3 linked regions of the Oryza sativa Japonica Group genome follow. The protein of the gene in region 3 interacts with the protein of the main gene of each other region in a pairwise test. Links are inferred from orthologs where the notes say so. Each region holds a gene or a part of one and is shown on either strand. Other genes may lie near its edges. The genes, in order: cell division topological specificity factor homolog, chloroplastic; plastid division protein CDP1, chloroplastic; protein ACCUMULATION AND REPLICATION OF CHLOROPLASTS 3, chloroplastic.

Region 1 (3,753 bases), on a different chromosome or scaffold from region 3:
GAGATGTTAGTTGAGAACCGAAGAGGACAGAATCTGATATTTCTCTGCTTGTTATTGTTATAACTCTTGTTAGTTGTTATGGTTGATGTTGATGATTGACAAGTATGTAACTTGATGGTATAACTGCTGTTGTAATGTGCCTCTAAATGTTCTAGAGAAGACTCGAATCGTACTTATTGTTGATTATAGTGGAAGCTTGGAGTGAACCATTTTGTCCCGTGGTTTTTCATTCCTTACACTGAGAAGGTTTTTTCACGTAAATCACCGTGTCTTGTGTGCATGTGTTTGTTGTAGGTACGCTGTTGATTTGCTAGTTGAAACAATTCTCAAAGTTCATGCGAAGATGAAGGGTTAATTTTGTGAAATATGTTTGCTGGTTAGTGAATTGTAGTTTGCACATTGAAATGATTTGGTTCATCTCCAACAAGTAGAATGTAAATTTAGTTTCAATTCAAAAACGGCAGCTTGATTGCATGACGAACACATGATGTTTACCAACCAGAAGGTCTTGAGCTCGATTCCTTGCGCTTGCACGCTTTAATTTTGTTTCACTAGGACCTGGTATGAATCTTAATTTGGATCAGATGGACCAAAAATAACATATTTGTAAAGAAAAAACTAACGCCATATTTTTATCGTTTTGTATATTCTTAGCACAAAATGTGTTTTCTCCTATAGGAAAAATATGCAAGTACGCCAAGTACTCCCTCTGTCCCAGTTTACTAGTCGTTCTAGGAAAGAGATGACAAAATATGGTGCTGGAAAAATGACCAACGTGCCCCTACATTAATCATTTCAATGCTTAAAAATTAACACAAAACTAGTACTGCGCCTGTCATTCTGATATGTCTGCAACCAGCATGGGGAAGAAAATTAATAGAAGTACTCATACTAGTGGCTAGCCTGCTAGCTGCCCTACGCCTAAACGATCCTCTTTCTGGGACAAACTCTACACCCCAGCGACAGCTAAACCGGGACGGAGGGAGTACTAGCCACCTACTGTTCTCCGTCCAGCCAGGGCCACACGTGAGACTGACCAGTGGGCCCCACTGTCGGTTGTACCCCAGTTGAGGTGACCACTACGCCACCACCTTTCCAATTCCATTCCCATCCCAAGTCCAACCAAGAGTGGAGCAGAGACTCACTGGAGACCAAACCCTAGCTGCCATGGCAATGGCGACGTCGATCTCCGCCGGCTTCGGCGGCGAGCCCGGCGCGGTGCTCGCCCCGTCCGCCTCCGTCCTCCCCGCCCCGCGCCGGCGCAACCCCGCCACCAGCTCCAAGGTCCGGTCTCCATCTCTTCTTCTTTCCCCTCCCCCCAAAACCCTAGATAAGATGGAGGAGGTTGGGTCTCCCCGTGGCCGGATGCCATCTCGGATCCCTGCGCGCTGATGAAGATGAGATGATAGATTCGTACCTCTTTTTGTTTTTTGAAGGAACAAAAGATTGTGCCGCTGCACCTCGTTTTGGGGGTGGGGGTGGGGAATGGGGAGGAGAAAAAAATAATGAGAGAGGAGATTTTTCATGTTGAGCGTTCTCGATTCCAACATCCTCTTGGATCTAGTGCTGTAGAATACTAGAATTCGTTACCAAAGCGGCGGTTTTGGTGTGCTCTGATTCTGGTCTGTCGCGAGGTTCACGAGGAACTGTTGGGATTTAGATATTAGTCAAGCTGTGAAATTTGATATGTAAAGCTGCGGAAGACGCAGCTATACATTTGCGACCTCTGGTCTAGTTTGTGTTAGCGTACAAGCAAGTGTAATTGCTAGGTGTAGACACAAAATGCTGGCCTGGGTGTCTCGTGTAGTCAAATGTTTTCGAAGCACATCTGCTGTTATGAGTTAATATTAGATGTTTGAAGAGAGTGAAAACCTAACTGTGTTGTCAAATATGGGTGTGAACTGGAAATGACAATGTTCTTATTTAGGATTTGGCATACAGCCTATCTTTCTATATCTCAGTCTTAAATAACCTTTGTTTTATACCTCCTGAGATGAGTATTAGTCATATTACAGTAGGTCAGGATAGCACATTAGTTGCTTGTCCCATTCTTGCCTATAGGAGTTCTGAGCAAATTATAAAGTTTTTGTTTGGTTGGTTTCTGAATGGTAACTGTTTCAAATGCTTAATAACAACTCAAAAGTGTGTATCATTCTACCATGCTCTTGTGCTGTTCTGGTTCTGCTCAATTTAATATTGGATGACTTTTGGAATGAAGCGACCAAATGTGCTAACTCCACTATTATTTTCATAGATATGCTGCTGAGACTATTGTAGCAAAGACTCTTCTTGAATTGTTTAATGTGCTAACAGATCCTGCTTGGATTGACACTGGTACTGGTAGTGATGCCGAACTTGAATTTTGGCAAAGCATATAGTGCATTCACACACGCGTACCATGTTTCTTTTCCTATTGTAAACTCTTTGGAGTAACCTTGTTTGAACTTCTCCGTAATGGTTGAAAATCATAATCTAATGAAAATTTCTGGTTTGTCTTGATTCTTGAATGTGTAGTTGCATATAATTCTCAGCTTTAGATTGCATTCACATTGGATATTCTTTGCATCATAGAGTTGTTTTTTTTCTATGGAATAGCATATTTCAGTGGATTATTAGCTAACGACTTTACCTCTACTTCTGTAGGCACAGTTTAGTTCATTTCCTCGTGGACGATCTTGCAACATCATGCTTACTCCTAAGCATCTAGGCATTGAGCACCAAAGCTGTTCAAAGAGCTCCATTCAGACTTTTGCTCTTTCAAGGAATGACTTCTCTCCTATTGCTCAAGAGGTGGAAGGCTTTCTTCACAACATTGTTAACATGGGGTTTCTTGATCGTCTGAAATTAGCATGGAAGATAATCTTCCCAGCACCAAGCATTAAGGAGAACTCTAATGCAAACATCGCAAAGCAGAGGCTTAAGATGATACTGTTCTCCGACAGGTGTGAAGTGAGTGACGAGGCAAAGAAGAAGATTGTTGAGAACATCGTTGAGGCACTCTCTGAATTCGTGGAGATAGAATCACGAGACAACGTCCAGGTGGATATCTCAACTGATGCTGGCCTTGGCACAGTATATTCTGTGACCGTTCCTGTTCGCCGTGTCAAGCCTGAGTACCAGGAATCTGAAGAGCAGTACAGAGGGAAGATCGTAGGTGTTGACTTCAAGGACACTGGAGAAACATCAGGCAGCGTCGACGTTACGTTCGATTTCTTCGTGCCCAACAAGAACTACTGACCGTTGTATTCCCCTTTTGCTTCCGAGTATCCCAGAACTCCTTGGTTAGAATGTTCAATTTGTTGAAGGCTTTCTTCGCAATCTTGGTTAGTCTAATGTACATATCTAGGCTTTTGTTTGTCTCTGCGTTTCATGTAATTTTATTTTGAATTTTTGTTCTGAAGGTGGCAAATATCAGTACCGTGGGGTTAGTCCAACTTGGATTTTCCGAAGAAATGTTTATTTATAAGAAAATAACGTTGTGCGCTCGTGCTGATGTTTTGCCAGATACACTATGTTCTGCCATGTCCCAATTTTGTAATGTGATTAAATCAATCATCACCTGATGCATATCACGACTACACCATGTTCTGCCATGCCCCAGTTTTGTAATGTGATTTAGTTAATAATCATCCGATCTTCATACTGCAGAACACATATCTGATACTAGCATTTGTCACGGTTGATCAAATATTGATACACCGGCTGAACTAAATTTCTAGTTTGTGGACTTGTGGTAGATCCATCCTGAATTCT
Region 2 (3,753 bases), on a different chromosome or scaffold from region 3:
TTTGCTGAAATCATCCCACCAATTCACCAAACCTGCCCTGAAATGGTGTAGCCTATATGCCATTTTTTGAACTGCTACCTCCATTCCAAAACATAGCAACCACTTATGACTATGAATTTAGACATGCACATGTCCAGATTCGTAGCCAAAAGATGTTATATTTTGGGATGTAGGTAGTATAAAGGAGGTATGCGTTTGCACTTAACTTGAAGAGTGTACATCACAACAGAAGTATACTTGTTATAGACTGATCTTTTTACTCTCTAATAGTAAGACTTAATAGACTGATCTGAAAGCTTTTTGTTGTTCTCAGATGAACACCTAAAACCCACAGACAGCGGTTGGTAGCTGGTAACATTGGCATCGTCACTGCTGTCTAGTCTTAGTCTATAGTCCATGTCTGATGTCTCCATGGAATTGATATCTCTAGTAATTATTTAGCACACCAAAAATTCAATCGTTTTGAGTCCATGGTGGTTTATTAATTCTCAATTCTAAGCTATTCAGACAAGATGTAACACCAGAATGATGAAGGAAGTAGCAGACCTCGGCGGCCCAGTCGACGACGGGCGCGATGAGGCGGCACGGCCCGCACCAGTCGGCGACGAAGTCGACGAGCACGGGCAGGTCCGACTGCAACACCTCCGCCTCGAACTCGCTCTGCCCGATGAACCTCACCGCCGCGCCACACCGCACGCGCGCGCTGGCGATGCGGCGGCCGCCGGGTGGGGCGGCGGCGGGCCCCACCACGCGGAAGCTACCCACCGAGGCCGGAGGCGGCGGGAGGCGCAGCAGCGCGCCGGGGAGGAGGCGCGCGCCGCGCGCCGAGGAGAACGGCGGCGGCGCGAGGCCGGACGCGGTGGTGCTCGGTGCGGACGCCATGAGAGGGAAGAGAAGGGAAGGGGGATGAGGAATCTTCTCGAAGGCGCCACTCCGGCCACCAGTTCCCCTCCCCCCTCCGCGAGATTTGTTCGCGACGAAGCGGATTTTTTCCCCTCCGTTTGTGAGGCCTGGAATTCAGCCCACTTCACCACACCAAGCAAGTTTTCGGCCTGGCCCATGTAGGCCCAGAAACGAAGCCCATTGGGTAAGGACACGCGTCGGCGTCTGGGAGGGTCCACCTGTCAACGTCTAGGCTCTAGCACAAAGCGCATGGACCAAGTCCATCGCCATCATCGACCTTCCTCTCTCTCTCTCTCCGGCCTCCGGCTTCGCCTTCACGACGCCTCTCCTCCTCCACCTCGCTGACGCTTTGTCCCTTTATTCGCGGGGGCCTACGACTCGCCCGCCTCCCAAAACCCTAAAGCATCCATCCGCTCGCACATGGTGGCGTTGGCGAGGGTGGGCTAGGGTTGGGGGGGTGAGGTCTTCAGGCCAGCCATGGCGATGCCGACGGTGGCCGCGGCGGCGGCGGTTGTCCCCGGGGTCGCATGTGGGTCCTCGACGCGGCGTGTTGGGGTGGGAAATGGCAATGCGTCCGCACACGCCGGGGGTGGATGCCTGGCTGGCGGACGGCGAGGGGCGGCCGCGTGGGTTGCGCGCGCGAGGGTGGCGGAGGCGCCGCCGGTGGCCGCGGAGGGGAGCAGGCAGGAGGCCCCCGCCGCGCCGATGGTGGAGATCCCCGTCACTTGCTATCAGGTTTTTTTTTTTTTTGGCCACTCGTACTGTTTATGGATCCGAATTTTGGAAATGTGGTCTTATATCGTCGATGGATCTAGTTTAGCTCGGCTGGTCTCTGTTCGAATGATACAGTTGCAGATTAGATAGTCGTTTCTTGACCATAATTCAACTTTAGTGTTTGCACCACGATGCCTATTGTAATTTGCACTGGTAGTTCACACGCGTGACACGCCTCCCTGATTTTTGGAGTGACATGTTTCAAATGGCCAATGCAGATTCTTGGTGTTACAGAGAAGGCTGAGAAAGATGAGATTGTCAAAGCAGCAATGGAGCTGAAAAATGCAGAAATTGAAGACGGGTACATGGCAGAGGTGTCTACCTGCAGACAGGTTGCTCGCTGAATCAAGGAATTCTGGAAATATATTTGGATATACTGCTTTGTTTAATGTAGGGAATGCAGAATTCATGTGGTTAATCTTTGCTTATTTCTTTCATGTTTGGTAGGCTCTGCTGGTAGATGTGAGAGACAAACTTCTCTTTGAACAGGAGTACGCAGGAAGCATAAAAGAAAAGCTTCCACCCAGATCCTCTCTTCATATACCTTGGAGTTGGTTGCCTGCTGCACTTTGTGTCTTGCAGGAGGTAATGTGTAACACAGACATCCTTATTATTGTGAACAAATAAAGGAAAACCACCAAGTTTGGTTTAGGTTTGTCACCTTTTATGTTACATGACATAGTCATAGTCGTCACCATGACCATGCCCGGTATGTTTCTTTATAGGTCTGCCTTATTCTTTGTCAGAATACTATTCTCAATTCACTGAATGATTTGAAAGGGATCAAGAAGATTTAGGATCAATAATGTTTAACTAATAAAGAAAACTTTTATGCTAACTTCAGGGTAAATTATCCTTAGGAATGTGGTGAGGAGCGCGTAGGTTTTAAACTTTGCCCTTTCTTAGGACTGGGTAGCGTAAAATGCAGGGGATGCAGGTTAGTCACCATTATGATGTTTGTGAGTTCTAAGTGATCATGAATACAAGACACCTAGCAGCTTGAATTTATTAAAATTGAATGTACCATTATCATAATGAAATGGTGTATTACATGCTACAATATTCATTTCAGGTTGGAGAAGAGAAGCTAGTTTTGGAAATTGGTCAGGCGGCTCTACGACGCCCAGATTCTAGGCCATATGTTCATGATGTGCTTCTTGCAATGGCACTAGCTGAAGTAAGAAGCACACAAAATTTTAAATAACTGACTACAAATTGGTATATTTTGCAATGATTTGATGCATTTTCTTGTAGTGTTCTATTGCAAAAGCTAGCTTTGAGAAAAGTAAAGTGTCTCTTGGCTTTGAAGCTCTAGCACGTGCTCAATACCTGTTGAGGAGAAAACCGTCTTTGGAGAAGTTGCCCCTTCTTGAACAGGTTAATTTTTGTTGTTATCGCTCTACAGATTCTTCTACATGTAGAATTATGCCCTTAACTTATTTCATTGGATGAACTAGATTGAAGAATCACTTGAAGAGCTTGCACCTGCTTGCACTCTGGAGCTTCTAAGCTTACCTCAGACACCTGAAAACGCTGAACGCAGGCAGGGTGCTATTGCAGCTCTCTGTGAACTGCTTAGACAGGGTCTTGACGTTGAATCCTCTTGTAGAGTTCATGATTGGCCTTGTTTCTTGGGCCAAGCAATGAATAAGTTGTTAGCCACTGAAATTGTGGATCTACTTTCTTGGGATACTTTGGCTACAACTCGTAAAAACAAAAAATCGTTGGAATCCCAGAGCCAGCGGGCAGTAGTTGACTTCAATTGTTTCCATGTAGCGATGCTTGCTCACTTTGCGTTAGGGTTTTCAACCCGGCAGGCTGACCTGGTACCTTCTCCTTCTCAATAGTAGTAAACTATCATTTTTGCTATTTATGCATTATTTAACGTACAGTTCCTTTATGCAGATCAGTAAAGCCAAAACCATTTGCGATTGTTTAGTTGCATCTGAAAACACAGACCTGAAATTTGAGGAATCATTTTGTTTGTATCTCCTTGGAGAGGTGATAAGCTGATTTGAACTGCAAAAATTTTACTAGTTTACATTATCATAACTAAATGTTTGCTCTCAGGAATCT
Region 3 (3,211 bases):
TGTTTCTAATGGGTGAAATGACTTCCCTCTTTTTTCTCCCAGTCCAGAGTGCAGTTGGGTCTTTTTGTACTGTTAGATAACACACAAGAGAATTGGCATACACGAACTCTGGTTTCCTCTAAAATTATTAGCATTATCGTGTTGTTTTACAAAACCTATTGTTATCCATGTAGGATGCAGAAAGAGAGCTGGAGAAAACATGGAGCCCCATAGTTGAGATACAGTTTGGAGGAGGAATTTACAGAGGGAGGTGTCAAGAAGGTGTCCCTGAAGGAAAGGTGAATCCATGTAAACTAAGTGCTCTTCCATTTGGCTTGACAGGAAATTAAGTAACTAACCCTTCAATGGTATTTTTTTTCGTAAAATTTACAGGGTCGCATAACCTTCAGCGACGGTAGCTTTTACGATGGACTCTGGAGGTATGGCAAGAGATCAGGTCTAGGGACACTCTATTACAGTAATGGTGATGTATTCCATGGAACATGGAGGGATGACCTTTTTCATGGAAAGGTATGGTATACTTTGTATTTGAATATGACAATTATGAGATGTCCATGTTAGGTATGGCTTCTCCCATTTACAGCATTCTTTAAAACATGATGATTAGCTCAGCACCTTCTTTGTTGGGTAATGTTCTTGCCACTGATGTTTATTTTAACATACTATTCTTTAAATGACGGTAGTCAACCTTCCTTTCGAGATATGAAGATAAACTTGCTTTAATGTGGTAATTTGGATTTATTTGTTACCAAAGGATTTGTATTTTCCTTTTGATTTCCTTTGTGTAGCTAATCTTCCTGCATTTATTTCCTTTTGTTTTATAGATGATCACTTTGTATAACTAAAAAGTGCACAGTGTTGTACTGTTCAAACATTACTTCTTTCTGTTCTGTTGTGATTAGGACATTAGGTGTTATGATTCTTTATACTGTTAGGGTTCTCAATTCTGTATTGATGAATTTTGATCCTTTATTTGGTACACTGAATTGCTGCCAAGAGGATAAGTACTTCCTCCGTCCCAATATATAATAACCTTAGTAATGGATGGGACACATCCTAATACAACGAATCTGGACAACCCTGTCCAGATTCGTTGTATTAGGATGTGTCTCATCCGGTACAAGGTTGCTATATTTTGGGACGGAGGGAGTAGGTAACGCTCTTTCCTTTATTGTAAACTTAACCTCCATCACTCCCATGTAATTTATGGCTCTTTTCCTCCCTACCTTCCTGAGTTCTCCTTCCTTTGGTTCTCCTGCCTTTATTGGGCTATGATGATAGTATTACATGAACTAGCACAGTGATCCACTCATACTCATTTATACCCAGTCCATGCGCTTATGAACCATTGCATTCAGGTCCTGTTCATTGAGTAGTTTTTCGCATTGAAAAATCATATATTCTGATTGTAAAATCCCAGTAACTCTCCAGAACATTTCATACAGATGTTTTGATGGCAACCTTCGCATTAAATTCAGAACATGTATATTCATATTAGATTTAATAATATCACACTTTATAAATTGTTGTGTTCCATGTGAAGTTCTGAGTTTTCTCCCCTTTCATTTAGGGCTGGTATTATTTTCACAGTGGTGACCGCTGGTTTGCAAACTTTTGGAAGGGGAGGGCTAATGGTGAGGGTAGATTTTATGCCAAAGATGGGAGTGTCTTCTTTGGCAATTTTCAAAATGGATGGCGCCATGGGGAGGCCCTGTTGATAGATGCAAATGGATCGAGGTTGTCATCTACTCGTGTTTACGTGTTTTCCTGAACAATTACATCTGCATATTCTTTTTAAATTAACCTTACTATGAACCATGGCTACAGGTGGATTGAAGTTTGGGATGATGGTGTACTTATTGGTCAAACTAGGTTGGAAAAATAGGGCTCCAAACTATTTCCCATACTTTATTGGTAAAGTTGTACACTTGTACTACACATAAGTTGGAGTACTGCATTGTAGCAAGTGCCACGACCACAATACGTTCCGCAACTCCGGTATGTACCTCCGTTGCACTGAAGTACTTCATTGTTTGATGGATATACTCATGCATGCTTCAACTTTCACCGAGACACCCAACGATGATCCTTGTGTATTGTCACTTTCTTTTGCAGATTGTACATAGATGCCTGTTGGAAGCACTGTTGTAGAGTTGAAGCTAGTTTCTGAAAGCTGCGTTAGTCATTGATGAAATTTTTGACGCAAAGTCATTGGTGAATTGTGTATATAATCCCAAGAAGAATGGGATGAAGCTTTCTTCTTCATACCGTGGATGTGGAAATCAGGGAAAAGTCACACAACTGCATCAAGCATATGCTACATGAAGTAGGTTTGATTGATTTCATTTATGGCCGCTAGATATTCTTTGATTGGACTCAATGCATGGATGAACAAGCTCTCGTGGCTTTGCCCCCTCAATTCCAGCTGAGTATGTGATTTTCCACATATGGGGTCCCACAGCACCCTTCCCTTCTCTGTTTCCTGTCACCGTCAGTATCACCCACACATTCTGTTCTAGTGATGATTATGCATTTTAAGTTTGTTTACTTTCACATGATTCAATCAATAGATTCACACTAATTCGAAGTTTGAAGCAGAACTTGCTAATGGATCTAGTGCTTAGTGTTGCCGTTCATTCAATTTGAGCTGTTCGAATAATCGGTGATTGGGTTGTTAAATCCTTAACTGGCAAGCTTGACATGCAATCTGTTATTGCTCCAGATGGTGGTAAAAGTTGCAACCCATCAGATAGTATTTAACATTTTCACAGCCTATACTTAACCCAAGACCCAAGTACCCAGCTGAAGACTGAACCGCCCAATCTATCTACTAGAAAAGGTCACTTGCTCACTTAGGTATAAAGAAAGTAAACTTGCTCACTTGCTCACCTTCTTGGCCAGATGATACCGGCATCTACAATATTCCTCCTCTTGTTTCAACCATTCTGGCCGAAATGACAAGAGATACTTGCACAGAGCTAGGAGCCCAGTATTATACTTCCTGAAGTCGATTGATTTCAACTAGAATTTCATATTGTTAGTACAGGACAGAAGTCAGATATCAATGAGCTCATGTGTGATTGCCTCACCCATCATGTGGCCGTTTACCGTGGCTGCGATTCCCGTGTAAACAAATGACACGTGAGATGCCTGAATGGGGGGCAAAAATATAATGTGGCCATCCAAGTATCCAATCGCACGTTGACGCATA

What was found.
Region 1: the proteins of protein ACCUMULATION AND REPLICATION OF CHLOROPLASTS 3, chloroplastic (region 3) and cell division topological specificity factor homolog, chloroplastic interact in binary tests that used the Arabidopsis thaliana proteins (3 or more experiments, as listed by UniProt). The link is inferred for Oryza sativa Japonica Group from reciprocal best matches to the Arabidopsis thaliana genes ARC3 and MINE1.
Region 2: the proteins of protein ACCUMULATION AND REPLICATION OF CHLOROPLASTS 3, chloroplastic (region 3) and plastid division protein CDP1, chloroplastic interact in binary tests that used the Arabidopsis thaliana proteins (3 or more experiments, as listed by UniProt). The link is inferred for Oryza sativa Japonica Group from reciprocal best matches to the Arabidopsis thaliana genes ARC3 and PARC6.

What each region holds. Positions count from the first base shown.
Region 1 is NC_089046.1:19,400,408-19,404,160, reverse strand, and holds cell division topological specificity factor homolog, chloroplastic, read left to right. Parts: upstream 1-1,103; 5' UTR 1,104-1,167; coding exon 1,168-1,284; intron 1,285-2,643; coding exon 2,644-3,237; 3' UTR 3,238-3,485; downstream 3,486-3,753. UniProt on the Arabidopsis thaliana protein: Acts as a topological specificity factor during plastid division and specify plastid constriction sites (such as the Z-ring) in a MCD1-dependent manner. Especially involved in epidermal plastids division in a FTSZ1-dependent manner.
Region 2 is NC_089038.1:35,030,649-35,034,401, reverse strand, and holds the start of plastid division protein CDP1, chloroplastic, read left to right. Parts: upstream 1-1,174; 5' UTR 1,175-1,380; coding exon 1,381-1,638; intron 1,639-1,895; coding exon 1,896-2,009; intron 2,010-2,124; coding exon 2,125-2,262; intron 2,263-2,749; coding exon 2,750-2,854; intron 2,855-2,931; coding exon 2,932-3,054; intron 3,055-3,134; coding exon 3,135-3,503; intron 3,504-3,582; coding exon 3,583-3,678; intron 3,679-3,747; coding exon 3,748-3,753. Other genes in the region: thioredoxin X, chloroplastic, read right to left, coding at 547-882. UniProt on the Arabidopsis thaliana protein: Component of the plastid division machinery required for PDV1 localization to constriction sites. Involved in chloroplast division site placement. Required for the proper formation of FtsZ rings at the division site in nongreen plastids (e.g. etioplasts).
Region 3 is NC_089043.1:26,492,361-26,495,571, reverse strand, and holds the end of protein ACCUMULATION AND REPLICATION OF CHLOROPLASTS 3, chloroplastic, read left to right. Parts: intron 1-173; coding exon 174-278; intron 279-372; coding exon 373-510; intron 511-1,570; coding exon 1,571-1,737; intron 1,738-1,827; coding exon 1,828-1,885; 3' UTR 1,886-1,998; intron 1,999-2,115; 3' UTR 2,116-2,608; downstream 2,609-3,211. UniProt on the Arabidopsis thaliana protein: Together with MIND1 and MCD1, regulates FtsZ ring positioning in chloroplasts in an ARC6-dependent manner. Z-ring accessory protein involved in the initiation of plastid division and division site placement (might functionally replace bacterial MinC).